Lonchura striata: one gene and its partner. Each later gene encodes a partner of the first gene's protein in a complex. Links are inferred from orthologs where the notes say so. Each region holds a gene or a part of one and is shown on either strand. Other genes may lie near its edges.

Region 1 (9,895 bases):
TTGTAAAACCCCTTGCTATCCCTCTGCCATGGATATCTAAAGTAACAACTTACACAGTCAAAACACTTTCTACCAACAAATGTACCAATTTTCCAGTTATCAAGATCAATGGCAAATTCTAATGCCATGCTTGGAAGGTAAGAGTCACTTCCCATGGACACAACTGCTGTTGGAGTAGATCCTCAGAATTGCTAGTAAAAAAAACAATTGCCAAGTCACGTGCCAGCTTATCCTGCCTCACTGATTTGTGGAATTACATAGAATAGCTCCTCAGCTCCTTCATACATGCAAGGAGTTGGGAACCTCAGTACACCAGAGGAAATGTAGTCCATGGGGGCTCCAGTCTGATCCCAGTAGGTCACCTGCATTTGCATTTACAGAAGACCTGATTCTCACCTCCCTAGGCCATGGAAATCAGAATCCCACAATAATGAGCAGAATGAGACACTGAGAGAGTGTGAAAATGAAACCTGACGTTCGTACTTTGGCTTAGGCAATGGGACCTAAATCTTGTTCCCAGGCTCAAGTGCACATGCAGCTTAGAAAGAAACACACAGGCAACACAATCAATAACTGTGAATAGAATATAGAATTCAGGAGAGGTTTTAGGCTGTGCACCAATTTTCCTCCATAGATGAAATTTGTAAAGAGAAAGACAAAAAGAAAAAGTACATTTGTTGTAACATGTCCTGATATGACATTTGCCAGAGGCATACATTTCAAAATCACCCATTACCTCCTACTCATTGCATCAAGAACTCTGGTTCTGACTGCTGACTGTGCAGCTTTTTTTGGAATTGATGCTTGAAACATTTCTCTTCAACCTACCCAAGCTGGAAATTTTTGCAAGACACAAAATGTGCAACTACTGATGACTAATAATTTTATGCATTAGCATAGACAAATGTAAACCCCATAAAAAAAGTAACAATATTGTGTTAGATTCACTTTCGTTCAGTTGTCCTTTTAATTAAAATGCTTATTTGTGGCCACTTGTATGCATTAAAATGGAAATTCAGTATGTTTAAGAAAGGCTATGCTGGTTGTAAAAAAAGAATGATGGGGCATCCATTCCTGGAATTTGATGATTAAAGTCTAAAAAGCCCAGAACTGAACAATAACTTTATTTATATACAAGATATTAGTTCTGTATTTTACTTCTGCTCTCTGTTGAAGCACAAGAGAAGCAATTAGATACCAGTGATGTTTCCCAATATTAACTTTCTAAGGAATTGATCTATATAAAAGTAAAATGATGGCTCAACAATTAATTATAAAATAAGACTCTACTTTGAGACCTTGCTGAAGCAAACAGAAGTAGGACAAGAATAGGCACCTCACTCAATACCCTGATTTATTTTTTATTATAACATAATAAGTGCCACACATCTGCAGGACAGTTTGGAGGCTGATGGGATTCTGGTACCCAGATATGAATGTCAAACAATCAAAATGCAGGGTCTGTACTTCTGTGTACATGACCAAGTAGTAGACTGGATTCAGCACCATGAACAACACCATGTTCTTCTGTTTAACTCACTCTGCTAAAACAAAATTTAACATTGACTAGTAGGTTCATGGTCATCAGTGAAATCTGATCTGAGAAAATATAATACGTAACTAAACTCTGAAAAGCTAAATTTTTTGTAATTAGAGCAGGCAGAAAGCTAATTCTAACAGACAAACTTGGATAAAAATTCAAGATTTGCAATTTACTTTTTTCTTTTTTATATACAAAAATATGAGGTTCATGTTAGAAAACATATTTGTAATAGGTCAACTTATGTAGCTTTTTCCCTTTAAAATAAATGTTCATATGTGTTTTCTTTCATCCATCCTAAACAACTTTAAAGCCAGCTGTACCTTAAAAATGTTTACAGAAATAAGTAGCATAATTGAAATGTTCTGTGTTACAGATAAACAGGTATAATCAGAGGTGGCTACATGATGAGAAGAATCAAAAGTCTACTCAGAAGCACAGCTGAGGAGCCCCAAACCCTGCTTGCTTCAAATAGCAATAAGAGTAAAGATGAAAGCTATTGTGAAGGAAGTTGGATCACTTGCAGAGTACTGGTGCTCTAACATTCATTTAAAAAAGACACCTCCTTATTTTTTATGATACTTGCACTTCAGATCACTTGTTTTTATTTGGGAGTTCCTAGGGTGGGGAGGGCAGGGGAGCTATGTGGTTCCTGTGGAAGGAAACAGGCTACAAGAAATACAATTTAAGCAATCATGACCTCAGTCCTGTTTGCGAAATCTTTCTTAGCCAAGACCTTGAATCAAAGACTACTAACGAAATAGAAAAAATCTCACATAAATCGGTGGATTTTAAGTGATGTCCTTAATGGCATATTTTTGAATATTGGAATTAAATGAAGTGATTCTACACTAGAACTTTAATTTCATTTAGCTTACTGAAGCTCAAGTGAAATACATGTCATGTTAATTGCTCACTGACAAACACATTTTATTCAAAGCTTCATTTAGTCTTTACCTATAATTTGCTCCATTAAACTTCTCTAAATTGTTTACGATATCTGTTAAAATAATATAAAAATATACAAAAGAAGAGTGAACTGGTTTAGCAGCTCTGGAATACTTTAGTTACTCAGTGCAATTAGAGTATGTGTGCAAATTAGTACAATAACATTCTGCATTTCATCCTCATTGTGTTTGGAATATGAAAGAAATGTAGGCATTTTAAGGAAAAAAATATATCCCATTAATATGTCAACTCTGTAATACATCTATAATACACATGGAGCACAGTCAGTGCTCTTTCCAGAACCTTTTAAAAAGGAAGAACTATGACAAAAAAATCTTACTGGATAGGCATTCTTTTATTAATTTTACTATTTATTGATAGATTGTTTTAATGTAAAAATTATGCTTAACTTCTGAATTCCTTGTAGTCTGCCTCTTTTTTCAGGTACAAGCCAGCCTTTCTTCTTGAAAGCTCCTATTTCCCTAAAGTTGTCATTACTTCTCTCTTTTAGGGTGAGCATGTTTCTCAGAAAAGTAAATTGGCATTTTTACTAATAGATTTCCCTCCCTGTTTTGATCAGAGAGAATTGAACAGTTAAAGGTCTAATTGATTTGAAGTTGCCTTTCTCAACTCTAACACATCATGCAGATTTGGGATCTAGCATTCAAGTTTAACCTGCAGATAGCATAAATATCTGGTACAACAGATATGTCCCTACTCATGACAGGGTGCTTGGACTACATGACCTTTAAAGATCCCTTCAAAACCAAAACATTCTGTGTATTCTGTCTTTTAAGAGAATATGCCTAAGGTTAACAGCATTCATCCACCAATAATTTTGAAAACCAGAATGGGCTCTGGGAGCACAGATCAATAGATAGGAGAAAGAAAACACAAATCAAACACTCCTGCTTTTCTCTAGACAATATCCAACAGCAGTATCCAAAACCACTTCATCAGCTGGTATTTACCTTTTTCTTCTGTGTTGACAACAGACCGCCTGCCCCTGTTTCTACTCCCGTTCCAGATTTCCTTTTGGAAACTCTCAGCTGTGCCAGTACCAGCAAGCCTGCTCTCCTAACAAGGAGAAGCAACAGTCAGTGAGAGCAGCCCCACATTGGTCCAAGCCCTGCAAGTCAAAACCAACCCCTCCTGCTTACCTGCCTGGAGCCAGCTGCAGACACTTGCAGGAAGGAAGAAACAGGGGTACCTGCTTTATTTTCATCGGGGGACACGAGTGGTTGGTCTAGCGGAGACCTTGCCTGGATGCTGTAGATGAGCTCGCTGCGCAGAGCTTCTAGTTCTGTTTTCAGGATGATAACATGGTAAAGAGACACTGCTGCAAGACAAGAGGACAGGAGCATTGCAAGCCACAGGAATGTGACAGGAAAAAGTCCCGTGGTGCCTGAAACAGCACCAGTGGGGGCAGAGGGAGAGGAGGCGGTATCCTTCTGTTGGATGACGTGCACACAGTCCACGGATTTCATCGCTGCTCTTTCCTTACTAAAGCCAGAGGGAGAGTTCAGCTGTCCCCTTCCGAGGTGCAATCCATGTTACCAGTTGCTCTCTGAAACTAAGGGCATCCAGAATAAGTGAACAAAACGCCCAGATCATTTCCTGTCATATGAAGCTGTTGATAGCACCATTAGACTTAATGTACAGAGTGAACAGCTAAGATTCTGTCTTCCCTTTGTTTCCACCTCTCTGTGCTGCATTTTGGAAACGAATACTTTCTCACAAGCTACCTTCCTCCTTTCACTTTCCACTAGTTATTCATGTGGCAGCTTGCTATAGCCATTTCCCATAATCTTTAAATTTAGGCACAGCCAGTACCACTGGTGATTTGGAGCCTTATCTAGAAGTGCAGAAACCATGTAAAATTTCCTGGCAGCAACCATGTAAAGTTTCCTGGCAGCATTTCATCCAGTGGTACTTAAAAGACATCCACGTATGACAGGCATGTGCTTCTGTGTGTATGAAAGCATATAGATGTACTCTGTATATACATTATATCATTTATATTAATGTGTTTATATTCATAGCTAAAGTGCCAATATGCCTACAGAGGAGACAAATTATTCAAAATATTTTTTTGTCTTTTTCTAAAAACAATAATGAAAAACATTCCCAGGTATGAGACAAATTACAGGTTCTCAGTTGTATGAAGATGTAAATTCTGCAGTTCAGTTCATCAAAAAAACTTGAAAAGGGATGACATTTTAATAAACTTTTCTAATAAATACAGTCTCTCTAAAGAATTCGAGAAACTGCATTAATGCAAAAGGGAACACGAAGAAGCACAAAGAGGAAACTCGGTGGGGTAGAACTAGAAGAGGTGAAAACTAGGGGATGGAAAAGAATGACAGAGGGGGAAATATGAACAGGCTGAAAGGGCAAATATTTATTTAGAGAATTTAAAATTAAAAACAACCCACAACTTTAAACATGCATGCTGGCAATACTCAGGTGAATCCTGAGTGTCTGGTTAAAGTTAATCTTTTAAGATTTTATAAGTATTTTAATCTTAAAACTCTGTATTTGGATTTTCTTTCTTCACTGCAACAGCAGGGCTACCTAGAAATCCCACATATGTTAATGTGATTTTTTTATTATCATCTCCCACAAAACTCAACTTTTACCCCTTTGTTAAAAGTTTCAGTGGTTTGGGACAGAAGAAAAAAATATCAAAAGTGTCACAATTATGGCTAAAATCAACCCCTCTTTATCATGTAAGTAAACTTTATCTTTGCAAAGATAAAACTTTTACAGGTCAGTCCAAACAGGAGTTTTTGCAAAAAATCCTGATGACAACACCTAACCAGAGTAGCTCAGATCAAGTTAATTCTGTTGGGAAGGAGAAGGAAGAAGGAGCAACAATAGAGTAACAACTTCCATAGCCTCTCCCCCTTCTGTTTCTTAAGGCTACAAGAAATTTAGTGTGATTATAAGCTTTATCATCTTCTATTGTAATTAAAGGTGCTCTTTTCTTTATTTTGCCACCTCTAGCAACCACACACATCCTGTAAAGATAAGTAAATCTGTTCCTAAATGCAAAGGGAAAAAATATATCCTGTATCTTGCACCTAGAAGTCACATATATACTGTGATAAATTATATAGAAATCAGTGTGGGGTGGAAAAAATAGAATACTATACCATTTCTGTTCCTATTTTAAAGGCTAAGCTAAGCTCTAAATGTGGCTGCATTTTGAAGTAAATTTAATATGAGCTAATGTAATGGGTTTTTTTAACAGAATAAGCAATTATTGGTACTAAGCAGACATGCCTTCAAGTATCCCTAGACATCAGAATATTACCAGCCTAGTACTGACTGTTCCAAAAATAAAAAATAATGTGACAGTTGGAAAAGAAGTACTATTTTAGAAAATGAAATGGAGTGAGAACAGGAAAGTTTTAACTAGCTATCCAGGAACACCAAGGAACTATTGGCCAGCGAGGTCTCTGCAGTCATTAATGTATCAGAAAATAACAGACTGGTATATAAATAGCAGTGCTCTAGCCACTTCTAGAGAAAATAGGCTATTCCCAGCCTCCATAGCCTCCTTAAATAGGGTCATTATTTGGGCTGACAAAGTAATTGCGATGACATAGAGGACTTCTGTAAGACACCTAGCTCCATTTTGCTTATAATTCTCATCAGTGACAATTTCAAAGGGGAGATGAGGAAAATCTCATCTCCCACACATGAGAAATTGTTAAATTCAACAGGCATTTGTAGCTAAGCATCAAAGGGATTTTTTGTTGGCAACCTTGTGTTGTTCTGTAGATTTATAAGTAGTTATGTGATTAGAAAGAAAATGTAAGTTCACACAACTTCTGTGATGACAAAAATGGTGACAATGAGAATAAGAATGGTGACTAATGACAATAAGAAATGAAAACCAGTATGAATTACCTAGAAATATGCTTAGTTGAACAACTTCCATTATAATCAGATGGAGCTTTAGTTAATTGCAGATTGCTAATTGCATCAAAGCGAATCACAAAAATTACATGAAATCACCAAACCCAAAAAAGTCCCCAAATCAAACAACAACTCCATGCTAGTTGCTGAGCCTAGAATCTAGAGTCAGTGTCTCAATGCTTGCCACTGTCTTGTCATAATGTCCTCTCCTTATGATTCTTCTCATTGGCAGAGCTGCAAAGTGGTCCTTAGCCTGCTTAAAGCAAAGTCAGTAAGTTTAGCATATGCTGCTTCTGCTGTGTTTTAAACTAAGGCGTGACTAAAGCACACTAAGTATGGCTCAGATCAGCCTCCCATCAGCAGACATGGGAATGTGATGGCTTCAGCTGATCACAAGCTCTCAGTGGAATATTCTTGTTGAAATAGAGGCATACTCTTCAGATATATATGCTGCGGGGAAATAGCATAGTGCTTTTATATTGACAAAACCTATTTGCATGTAGCTAAGACTGACAAAACTGAACTGTGAAAATGGTCAAAAATCCAGAATGAATATAATATGTCTAAGGAACTAATCTCAGAAATTGTGTTCAGGTTTTGTGTAGCAGCCTGCTTCTACTGGACAGCTTTCCTGAAAGCTTTTGCAAACTTTTGTACCACATCAACAATTTTGGTCTTAAGAAACACATGCAGTCAGCAAACCTTAGGGGCTGCCTCAAGACCAGCTCAAAGCAGCATTTTCCAAACTATTGCTACAAAATAAAATATCATTGCATCAAACTGCAAAAACCTAGTACTGGCCATCTAACTCTGCAAACAAATAAAATTAAAAACTTATAATAAAGGTATTCTGAAAACATGATCATAGTTTGCATGCACCGTACATTATCTGTGCATACACCATAGTGTCTCCTTAACCCAAAGCATGAGCTATGTTGAACACTCAGATTAACTCACTAAAAAAACTCCTTAATTTAGCCAAGGAAAACTATTAAGAAATGCCTTGGCTAGTCTAAGAATTCTAGTTAACCAAGTCCTTTACTTCCAGGAAAGAGAGCAAAAATTTAGGTAAAATTCAAAATAATAAATAAATTAAAACCAGACCCCAACACATTGCCACTGAAGATGCTTAAAGGTGAGAATGTTTTACTGCAAGACAGGAAAATGGGTTCCTGGACCCATTATTAAGGGATCCTGAACCCAAAATTAAGGCTGTTTAAAACTTCCAAGATGTTATGGCAGAAACAAGCCCTGTAACTTTATGCAGGTAATTAACTTTTTTTTCATTTCCATTATGCAGAGGATCAGATTAAATTATAAAGATGGGTCCTGCTAATCTGAAAATTTATAAGAGATCAACATTACATCTGGTGGGGAACCAAGGCAGAGATAGCTACCAATCATACAGGAAATTTGTGGTTTAACCAGAAGCTGAATTCTTGATTTCTTGAAATCCATTTATGTACTTTAACCACAAACCATCTTCTTTGTGGGAGAGGAAAAACCCATAACGAAGTTCAATATACAAAAGAGAAGCAGTTGCTATGGCTGCGAAGGCTTGCGTAAAAACCCAATTTACTGAAGAAACATAAAAGTTTACTTCAAAACAAATGTTCTGTTTTCAAAAAGGAGGTTGTGCAGATGCTGCAACCCAGAGAGCCATGCAAGTGTGCTGAAGGCCACACTAAAAGTACGCCTCCAGTGGCAAGGGTCCAGCTTCACATACTTCTGAAGCAGCCGCAAAATGGTCCCTGTGGGTATTACAAGAAAGCGACCACGGTATCTCGCCTCACCACAGAAGAGAGTGCAGAGCACAGAAAAAGCTAAGGTTCCATTCTGAAATCTTCCATTTAATTTCAAGTCCTTTCTGAAGATGGACAAAACAGGAGGACTATTTTGGGGGAGATCAGAATAAATCCTGTGTTATAGTTTCCTGCTAATGAAGAGATCTGTATTAAGAGTATTCACAGACACACCTCTGAAACAGTGTACATTCCCTGAAAGAACACTTAATTAGTTCTTTCAGCCATTAACTACAACTTACACAGTAGCAAATCCAGGCAAGTTCTGCCTCACAAATGGATCCCAAAAGTACTCTATTTCTGATACTCCACTCCTATGCCTGTATATCTTACATCTTATTATTTTAACTTCTAGGAAGCTGTTGAATACCTTGTAAGTAGAGGATGTGTTATACAAACAGTTTAAGCCTTATTTGATAAACTGTCCTGTTAAAAAGAAAACAAAAATTCTATGAGATTTTTCTGAGGCAAAAAGGGTAATATTTTCTCTTTTCCTCAACATTTCAAAATTGCCGAGGATAATACAGATGTCTCTGCACATTTTAGGTATGTCATCCTTGTTTCATTCCTTGCAATATATTACTTCTCTAGATATCTATACAATTTGGGTCCAAATGCACACTACTCAAAGTAAACCTATATCTGACTTGCAGCCACTGTCACTTTTTACATGGTTATTACAGCACTTTCAAAGAGAAGAGGAACTGACACAGAAAGGAAAAACAATTATAGGTGTCTTTCAAAGTATGCAGCAGAACTACCTAGAAAATAGTTTTCAAAACATGTAAAATATAAAAAGACAACCCAGGATTTATATACTACAGCAGCTTAATGCCAGCCTCCTCCCCTTCCCCTTCCCCCCCACTCCCTCATGATGTTACAGCAATTGCTTCTTACTGCCCAGGGAAAAAGGAGCTCTGTCATACAGCTGAAGCCCACTCCTCTTACAGTCTCACCGGCTTTGCTATCCAGCAACATGGAGAACTGCTTTTCTCCACCTCTTTGACACTATGCAATAGTTTTTGCACAGATGGGCTAAAAATGCTTTTGTATGATAACAAGATAAACACGGAGCTATGGCCCTTCAAGTGGGAGTGGCTGCTCTGCTGCTGCTATGGTCTGGAGACCTTCAGTAGAGGGCACAGGACAAGGATTCAAGTATTTTCAAAATTTCCCCGTAGCCGTATTTGCTGCACTGTCCCTGAGTCCTAGAGGACGGACAAGAAAGGGTTATCTGCCTGACCTTTCCCTTTGAAATTCTGTAAATAGTTAGCCCACACTAGATGTTAAGTGTAATTCAAACCAGCTGTAGAACTTCCTTTCTTTCTGTCCTCAAGCAGCACAATCCATTCCTGAGTTACTATCAAACTAGCAGGAACTTCTGAACTTGGTATGTGAACATACATTTCTGTCAGCCACCTTGCAGATTTGCATTACTCAGCTCATTGCTTCACATTATTAAATATGTATCTCCAGCTGGGAGTGAAACCAGGTTCTTTAATACAGTAAAACCAAGTCTGCTCTTAAGCTGCATTGTCTTTCAGAGAAAGAAAAAATGCTGTTTTTCCAAGAAATACAAGAGTTATTCTGCCCTAATCCAAGCTGAAGTATAACAAATTAATCACATTGATGTTTTCAAAACAAATCCAGAAAATAATCAGTTTATCTTCCTATCTACTTA
Region 2 (9,189 bases), on another chromosome or scaffold:
TACATTTCAGCTTTTGTTCAGTTATGGGATTTACAGAGCTTGCACTGGCTTTCCAAACAATTACATGTTGATGCTAATAAATGCTCTCTTCTTTTAATTTGATTTTGCTTCAAAACAATGGCAGAAATAAGCAGAGTTGGACAAAATAAGAAAGGATTTATCAACTACAATAATCATTCAACCATAAATCACAAAGTATTGCCAGGGAAGTATTTCTGCAGTTACATTACTGTAACTGAAATTCAAAAACTACCCAAGATATCCTCTAAGAATAATTCAGACAAGTTAAGTTGGCCTGCTGGAGTTGGCATCCTTACAGAGAGCAATGGGAAAAAATGCAAGAAGTGAAGTATCAACTGCAGAAAGAACAGGAAGAAAAAAGAGAAAAGGAAAACCAATTCTCAGATTTGTTTCCAAAATTTTCTGACTCAGGAATGACACCTGGGGACAATTTATAAAGACCAGTATGAATGCTATTTTCTGTTTGTTGTTTAAAAGAATGGTTTTAGCACTGACAGTTGTAGTAGGGTATCAAATTGCTGAACAGCATTTCAAGCAATCAAATCATTTTTACAGGTGAAAGGAGTACAGGTGAAGGGAGCATAACCCAGCATAGAGCAGGAGTTGGTGCTTTGGAGTTGTACACAAACATACACAAATGGTTTAGACCTACAGCCTTCTCCCATGGGAGCAGAACACCTCCAGTTTCATGTTGTTGTGGCATAAAACAGGCACACCAAGCACTGAACATCCAGCTAGAGCATTTCCTGCCATGAACCCAAATTTGACTGCTGGTTTTGTTAAACATCTGGAGAAACCAAAGACTTACAGAAATCCTTGTCAGTTCTTATTTGTGACATATTAAATTGATATTATGTAACAGAAATCAGTCACCTGGAAAAGGTAAGAAAAATTTTTTCTCTCACTATTTAACTTGAAAAAGCTGTTGTGAGTGTCTAAGCAAAAATAATAAAATGAGGACTCTGGATGGAAAATCAAAGTAAGTAATATCATCATATCAATGATTAAAGATTGAAATTCATCTGTCACAGAACAATAACTTGATCTGTTTACCACATATAACTTAAACAACAAAGTTTTGTTCTGGCACTACTTCAGGCTTTCTCTGTTGAAGCGTGTGCCAACTTTTTTGCCTGACTGTACTTGAGAAATTCTGCTGGCATAATTACATAGCACTTACCAAGAGAAAGAGGGTTTTCTGCTAGGACTATAACATTCCCTTCACAAACAACATTAGCTAGGCTGACAAAGGAATTCTTCTGGTTGTATAGTTGCTTCTACATTGATGGTTTTGTGCTGGCACAGCTCTTTTTTTCCCACTCACTAAGGCAACTGACCTATGCTGTCAAATCATATACTACAGGCTTGCTCTGATCCTCTCCAATTCTCTAAAGCTATTTACAGAACAAATCCCCCAGAAAAGTCTCTTATAAATCACCTCACCTCAACAATCCTAAAAATCTGTAAGACCAATGTACATACCAAAAAACACTTTTTCTTCTCAAAAGTTATTGCACTTCTAGGAAAAGCAGTCTTACAGAAGTCATCTCCTAAAACAGTGTTAAAGATTTCTGAAACAGTTATTTTCAGAAATCCATGTTTTGTGAAGTGCATGCTTTGACTGTATGGCTGGGAGGAGATAAGCTGTTCTAGGAATGGGGCACACACTGCTAGTAAATAAAAGAATGGAGCTATTAAAGGGTTCATCATGTTCATTAACTTTTACAAGCTGCACTGAACAATGCTGCTCTTAGACAAAATATTGTTTAATGTCATTTGCACACAGAGCAAAAACAAGAACAATGTGGATTTTGCCTGTTTGGTTCAGCACATTTTAATTAGACCACAGCTTTGAAAAGAGTGATGTTGCTGGTGCTACATTGAGTATTTCCAAAATGGATTAAAGAGAAAACAACAGAAGAGAAAATGTTCTTTTAAAATAGTGATTAAAATAACAATAGTATAAACACAGTCAATTAAGTCACAGACAGCTTCTGTATCCCCCACTGTGTTCAAAGCTGACATAGCTAGGAATGAGTTTATGGAACAGAGGAAGTGCACAGCCCAGGAAAGCAGTCCTAATAGACTCCAAACCCTTGGGGCAAAGAAGATATCTTTTCATTTTTCTGACATTCCACATGTGCTGGAATAGTTATGTAACTACTAAGGACAATCCATAAAAAAGGGATTGTGCAAGCAAGTTTGGATAAGCCAATGCTTGTTAGAATGCCAGTGACATTTTTATGTTGGTACAATAGTTTTTACAGAATATAAATATAATTTATTTCTTAATGTAAGCACTTATATTTTGTGTTGGAAAAATGATCTCTTGCGTGCTACTATTATAGGGATTTTGCAGGTAGACAAAATAAACTAAAAATCATCAGTGGTATAATGCCAACAGGAGTATTGGAGTTACAACAAAAATAAATGTGCAGGAACAATTATGAATTACGTGAAATGCTTGGCATACACTAAAGTCTAACAGAAATTTTTGTTCTGGTAATTTAAGCCAAATTCTCTAGCTAATCAGAAGTTTGAGTAATGCACATTCACTTTTTTCAAATTCTCATGAACAGTAATCACAGTGTCAATGTGTGCTCTCTCTCAAGACAGGAGGGAAATTGCAATTGATTTAGCCACCACTACTCCAGAATAATTCCCCATGCAAATTGCTGTCTCTGGAATAAGAATACTGGCACAGAATACTCCTAGAGTAATTAAGCCTATTTAGAAACAAACTCACTACTTCATTCTCACAATTCCATAATGAAGTAATTATTTTCTGCAACAATGATAACATGTTAAGTAGCCATAGAAGAACAGCTTTAAAAATCCCATGAAGCTGTTATTCTTCCTTCATAACAATAATGCCATTCTGCTTTAGTCATTACAGAAACTAAAATCTTAAGGGATCTCTAATGGACAACATGCTCCCTCAACTGGAATTCCAGAGAATTAAGAAGGTGAAAAGAAAGCACATGAAAATCCCACATGGAACCAGTTTTCTATTTTCCCCTCCCTTGAGACAGCCAGCATGTAAAATTTTCCATATAGAACTGAAGTGTCATAAAACCCTTACCATATTCATAAAGCAGGAGATCTGGCCTGGAGCTATTACAGTATCCAGCAGTGGACATGGCAGCTCGGCGCTTCTCCATGTCAGGGAGTGCCTGCAATCAGAAAGGGTGTGAATAAACAGTGTGTTAATACTCAGCCACTCCTCATCACACTTGTGCTCCAGCCCCTTCCCCAGCTCTGTTCCTTTCTCAGGACATGATCCAGCACCTCAATGTCCTTCCTGTCATGAGGGGCCCAGAACTGGACACAACACTCGAGGTGTAGCCTCAGCAGCGGTGGTGACTGCGCTGGTCCTGCTGGCCATGCTGCTTCTAAGGAAGCAAAAGGTTAATTTTCTAATCAAAATACTGCTAACCTAAATAAAAGCGTAAGAACAGAAAAACAGAGGTCTGGATTGTACTTCACAAGATTTCTTTTCAGCTGCTTCAATATTTTGATTGACATGATGCCTCCTCCCACCAATCCTAAACCTGGCTTTCAGATCTCTGAAACCACACAATCTCTGCCTTCAAATATCTTCAAAATAGATTCTCTCCTGTCTCTAACCTTCCTAGTCCCAGCTCAGTCACTGTTTACATCATTTAAGTGATCTCATTCTTCCCTTCCTTGGATGCGCATTCTTTGCTCAGCACATTCCTTCCACATTGAGCAATCCCTCTGCTATTCACAGCATTTTAACTGTCATAAGGTTTATAAACTGTGCACAGGTTCTTCACAATCTGCACACCTAAATTCCCATCTTCGTTTCTTTTGAGCTTTGATAGCAAGAAACCCACACACACAACAGTTTTGACAGAAAAGCTACTTACCTTAACTACTCTCCCTCTCCTATTTTTCAGTCTGGAGTCTCAGGGTATAAAACCACAGAAGAAATTCTGTCTGAGGAGGCACTGCACTGCCTGTGCATTCAAAGAGAGGCATCGTGAGCAATGATCCAACAAGAACTCACCTTACAGATCTCTGAGATCTAAACAACACAGGGTAACTAAGCAATAGATCACACAGCTGAGAATTCTGAGCCTCCAATTAGAGTCACCTGAAAAAAGGGATGGCACTTGCAAAAAAAGACCTTTCAGTTTTTCTTTTTCAAAATACACAATCAAAGAGAATAAAGGTTGTTTATACACATAACAGTGAGAGATGCACATGACTATTTTTAAAAATAATGAGCTGAACATGGGAGGTACTTGAGAGCGGAGAAGATGGACACAGAAAATTACAAACTGGCATTCTGGTGTAGCAATCCATGCATTTCTTTTGCTATCTAAAGGAAAACCAATTAACTTTATGCCCTTTTTGGAGCCTGCAGTATGTGTTTAATTGCTCCAAAAAGGAGTGATCAAAAAAGGCTTTAACTAGATTGAAGAATAGAAGAATCCAGCTCTAAAGTACTCATTGCCAACCCACAATGAAATGTGAAACAAATTCTAAATTCCTTTGCAGATGTGGAGTAATTCTATGATTGGACTGTGAAATTGAGCTTATGCTCTGGTGCTACATTTGGAAAACCAAAGAAGAATTTGATTTGAAATTCTTCCAGTGAAATAGCTTCAAATACATTTCTATGATGGAATTCATGGACTGCAGTTCTGCCAATGCCCAGAACAGGGAGAGGAACAGGCCAGAAAGAGCATTTGTTAAATAGCAGTGTTGGAACAACAAATCAGTAAAAAGATGCTTCTGGGGCAAGATATCTTAGTTTGCATTAGACATGGTCTTGTGTCAATATAAAAGCCTCTTTATTCACTTACACTTCCACGAGCACCAGTAAAGCATAGGAAAGACTTGGTTCTTAATGAACCCATCATGCTGAAACATACTTGTGTTTTCTATTCTCTAGTTCGCAGCTACATCTCCACAGACTACCTGGAAAGAGAATTTACCAGGGTTTAAGAATATTAATTTATCAATTCCTGGCACCTGGTCAAACTTTTAACAATTTACTTCTTACCTCCTGTCTTTTCTTTCTCCTAACTAAATAACTTGTTCCTTTGGCTTTGTTTCTACAGGCTCTTTCTGACTTCAAAGCAATTCTAAATATCAGGCTACTCATTTAGGTGCATAACTACTGTACATATTTGAATACCTTTAAAGATGAGGGTATGGCTCACACGGCGTCACTGCAATCCCAGCTTGCTGCCACGCCAGAAAGGGAAGTAGTATTCCTTTCCTGCTCCTCCCAGTCTCAGCCAAAATGTTTTTTCCCATGTTGCAGTAGCTCAGGAATTTACTTGATATCAAGGTAAACTGAGTCAATTCAGCCATAAAACAACTCTCTCTCATTTTAAAGCTGTTGGTAGTTTATGGAATTTTAAAAACTTACTTGTTGGTACTGAGCAAGTAACTTCTTGAAGCTGTTAACCTGTTTGGAGCCTTCTAGTGAAATCCATCTTTTTCTCCTGCTTCAGTTCACATGGCTAAATCATTGGTATTCGTAGGTGTCCCTGCCAGGCTGCAAAGTGCTTGTGGGAGCTTGGGTGGAAGTTACTACCAAAGTACAGACCACTATTTCCAATACCATATGAACAGAGCCCTCCATTTCACTGCTATAGCACTGACTCACCACCGACTGCAAATTAGTGGTGAAGCTGCCTTGGGATAGTTTATTATATTAATAACTTGCTCTCACCCAAAAAATAAGTCCTGTTCCACATTCTTACTTTATACCAGCCCTGGCATTTGTCAAAAGCTTCTTATTTGATTCATCTGAGTAGCCCAGGAGGAAAAATAAAGTGGATTGTTCTGACACTAAATTTAATGAGCTGGACAGACTCAGCACAGGGTCTAACAGCTCAGAGGCAGCACAAGGATGGATATTAGAACTGCAGCTGTGGGAGGGGGACAATTTCTTTGCCCCTCAGTCATCATATATTAACCCTAAGCTGGGCCAGACTCCTCTTTTCTAAGCAGTCTTGATCACTTAAGTAATTCATGATATGAGAATGGATTTATATGGGTGGTTCTCAATAAGAAAAGCTTTTAAACATTTATTAAATGAAGAGCTGGTATATTTATTCTAAACATTTTCATGCAGAAGAGATTTAAACAAAAAAAAAGCTTTTATAATGCTTTAAAACCTCAAGTAAACAGGACCATTTACACTCCAGTGGATATTTTGCCAGTAAAATTATCATAATTCCACTTTTGTTTTGAGTACCAGCTGTTCCAAAATGGAAAAACAAACTACTAACCCTGTTAAAAATTTAGTGTTTGAGTTTACACAATTCCTATGTGTGACAGCCTGTAAAACAGGTCTGTACACTCTGAAGGACATCTGGCATCTTTTGAAATTCTGTGGACTAATTGTTTGTATCCTAGCAAGTACCTAGGGAATACATACCTGTCAAGGAAGGAAGAAAGGTTGTGAAACACAACTAATTCTTTTCCACTGAAATCAGTGGTAATATGCAGTTCTGCACCTCTGATCAAACACTTATTTGGTCCTACTCCCCCTACACAAACACAAAAAAATGTATCACAACGCAGTGCTTTATGAGCCATTGGAAAGAAAGTCCATTTCAAAAACCTTCAAGAAGTTTTTTTAAGGTATGCCAAAATGTGTGCAAAAATTGCTGTCCCTGTGTTCCTTGTGCTGATCATTTTAAGGTCCTTAACTGCTCGGAAAAGGCAGCACCTGCCCCCAGTTAAGGCTTTCCTGACCTGTAGGCTGTGCCAGGGCTCAAACAAAACAGGAGCTTGCAGTACAGCATTGCACTCATTATAAACGTGAGCTGTTCAATGCTCACAGTGACAGTAAAAAGTGTTCAGTAACAAGTCACTGTCAGCAGAATGCACGCTGCTTGCTCTCCAGTGGAGTTTTATCTGTTACTCAACACTAGTAATCCCTGAGTGCTAAAATGGTGCTACCTTGTTTCCATACTATATGAAATGTATCAGACACCTCTTGGTTAATAAATGTCACCTAACAAGCAAAGGTTAGAACTAAAAGAAAGCAAACTAAAACAAACCACTGCATGCTACTTTTCCTTTAGTTAAACTGAAAAGTGATTGCCATGCACAGCTGGGACTTATTGCAGCTTGACAAAAATTCTAAATACTCTATTTGAAAAATAGAGTATATTTTTAACTCTGTGCCAGAGAATAGGGTTAGGGTTAACCTCTTGGTGGTGCTTGAAGGAAAGGCTTCCACTTAGGCAGAGGTTTTTAGTCTCTCATTATAAGTGATATCTTTTCTTCCAATATGAACTTTCTATGGTGTTACTGGGGCTTTGGTTTTTTGGCTTTGTTTTTGGGTTTTTTTGTTTTTCTTTTTGGTGTTTTTTTTCTTTCCTTTTGTAAGTGCTACCCTGCACACTAATGTTTTCCCTGGCTATGATCTGTTGGAAGCCCATACTTCCATTAACATCTGTAGAAGTTTTTGTTTGTCCATGGCCCACATGTTGCTGCTGGTGTGTAGCCAGAGCCCTCTGGTTCTCGTGTCAGGGTTACATTACACAAATGCCCCTTCAGGAAAGCTTTTGTTCTGCAACAAAAACTGCCCTGGACTCTGCACCAAACGGAGATCTTTCATTTTTAGTTCTAAGACTATCTGTTTTCAAAACAACTCTGTAATCTGTCCTACAGTGTTCTAATATGAATAATGCTGCAGATGACTCGGCCCTCACGTGTCAGCACTCCAAGAAACTCCCAAGTATTTGCTTTGCGCATTATAAACACACTGTACCTTATGAGACAAAATGCTGCCACAGCCTCGTGCAGACCTGTAACCAAAATCTACTAGTTTCCTCTCTGTTCTGCGCTGTTTCCTCCAAATATACTTAACTTCAAGCGATGTCTTTTGAGTTTGTTTGTTGAGATTTTGTAATAAAAACTTCTAAGAGTCATACCACTGGGGAGAGGGCCTCAGTATTTGGCAAGGCCTACTGACTCTGGCCATTATAATGGGATAGGTTTTTTACATGGTTAACAACCAAGTCAAAGTGTCCTACAGAATGACCAAAATTGGAACTTTCATGCATCCTGTCCACTTTTGGCCGGACAGGTACGGCAGCGTTCCCTCTAGCATCCCGAGGGAGGGCGTGTGCCCCCCCAGCCTCCCCGGAGCTCTGCTGCCCTCTGCTCTGCGGGACGCGGTCTGTGAAGCGCTGGGACCTGCCCCGGCGGTGCCGTCCCGCCTCTGCCCCCGTCCCTGTGCAGCTCAGCTCTGCGGGGCGGGCTCGGTGTGATTTCGCAGGGCCCGGAGCTGCCCGGCGGTTCTCATCCCTGTGCAGCTCAGCTCTGCGGGGCGGGCTCGGTGTGATTTCGCAGGGCCCGGAGCTGCCCGGCGGCTCCCGTCCCGCCTGAGGCGGTTCCCGTTCGCGCCAACTCCGCGCTCCGCGTCCCCCTGGGCAGGGCGGCGGGGGCGGGGCCGGCAGGGACGCACGGCGCGCGCGACGGCCGCCGGGAGTTGCAGTTCCTGAGCGCTCAAGGAACGAAGGCAACTCCATTTCCCGTCTGTCCTCGGGAGGCGGGGCGCGGGTGCGCGCGCGTGGTGTGACGGGTATTGTAGTTCCCGCGCCGTGCCTAGGACGTACGGCAGGAGGAGGGCCGGAGGAGATAAAAACTACTACGATGGCGGTAGGAGAGGTTGCCGGGAGGGGGTACGGCGGCCCGAGAGGCCACACTGCGCTCGCGTCGGGGCGGCGGAGCACACGCGGAATCGGCGGAGCGAGTGCTGAGTCGGTGCCGCCGCCGGCTCCCCCCTCACCCGGGAGACGCTTCGGGGCCGCAGAGCCTTGTGGGGCCGCCACAAAATGGAGGCGAACGGGAGCGGCAGCGGGAGCAGCAGCGACTCGGCTCCCGACTGCTGGGACCAGGCGGACATCGAGCCGGGCAGCGGCGCCGGCCCGGGCTGCGCCCCGCCGGCCGCGGAGGCCGAGGCGCAGCAGGAGCTGCTCGGGGCGGCCTTCAGCCGGCAGCTGAACGTCAACGCCAAGCCCTTCGTGCCCAACGTCCACGCCGCCGAGTTCGTGCCGTCCTTCCTGCGGAGCGGCCCGGCGCCCGGCCTGCCGCCGCCCTCGCCCCCGCCCGGCCTCCCGCCGCCGCCGCCGCTCGGTAAGTGCGGGGCCGGCACCGCGGAGGGCGAGG

The links.
Region 2: the proteins of TNFSF13B (region 1) and TNFRSF17 are in contact, whole or in part, in a crystal structure (PDB 1OQD), measured with the Homo sapiens proteins. The link is inferred for Lonchura striata from reciprocal best matches to the Homo sapiens genes TNFSF13B and TNFRSF17. Residues at the interface, in NP_006564.1 of Homo sapiens: Ser162, Tyr163, Lys204, Thr205, Tyr206, Ala207, Met208, Gly209, His210, Arg231, Cys232, Ile233, Glu238, Pro264, Arg265, Glu266, Asn267; in NP_001183.2 of Homo sapiens: Tyr13, Asp15, Ser16, Leu17, Leu18, His19, Ile22, Arg27, Ser29, Ser30, Asn31, Thr32, Pro33, Pro34, Leu35.

The regions. Positions count from the first base shown.
Region 1 is NC_134604.1:82,477,625-82,487,519, reverse strand, and holds the start of TNFSF13B (tumor necrosis factor ligand superfamily member 13B), read right to left. Parts: upstream 3,976-9,895; coding exon 3,649-3,975; intron 3,566-3,648; coding exon 3,460-3,565; intron 1-3,459. UniProt on the Homo sapiens protein: Cytokine that binds to TNFRSF13B/TACI and TNFRSF17/BCMA. TNFSF13/APRIL binds to the same 2 receptors. Together, they form a 2 ligands -2 receptors pathway involved in the stimulation of B- and T-cell function and the regulation of humoral immunity.
Region 2 is NC_134618.1:8,894,099-8,903,287, forward strand, and holds the start of TNFRSF17 (tumor necrosis factor receptor superfamily member 17), read right to left. Parts: upstream 3,788-9,189; 5' UTR 3,547-3,787; coding exon 3,458-3,546; intron 3,195-3,457; coding exon 3,104-3,194; intron 1-3,103. Other genes in the region: GSPT1 (eukaryotic peptide chain release factor GTP-binding subunit ERF3A), read left to right, coding at 8,856-9,156. UniProt on the Homo sapiens protein: Receptor for TNFSF13B/BLyS/BAFF and TNFSF13/APRIL. Promotes B-cell survival and plays a role in the regulation of humoral immunity. Activates NF-kappa-B and JNK.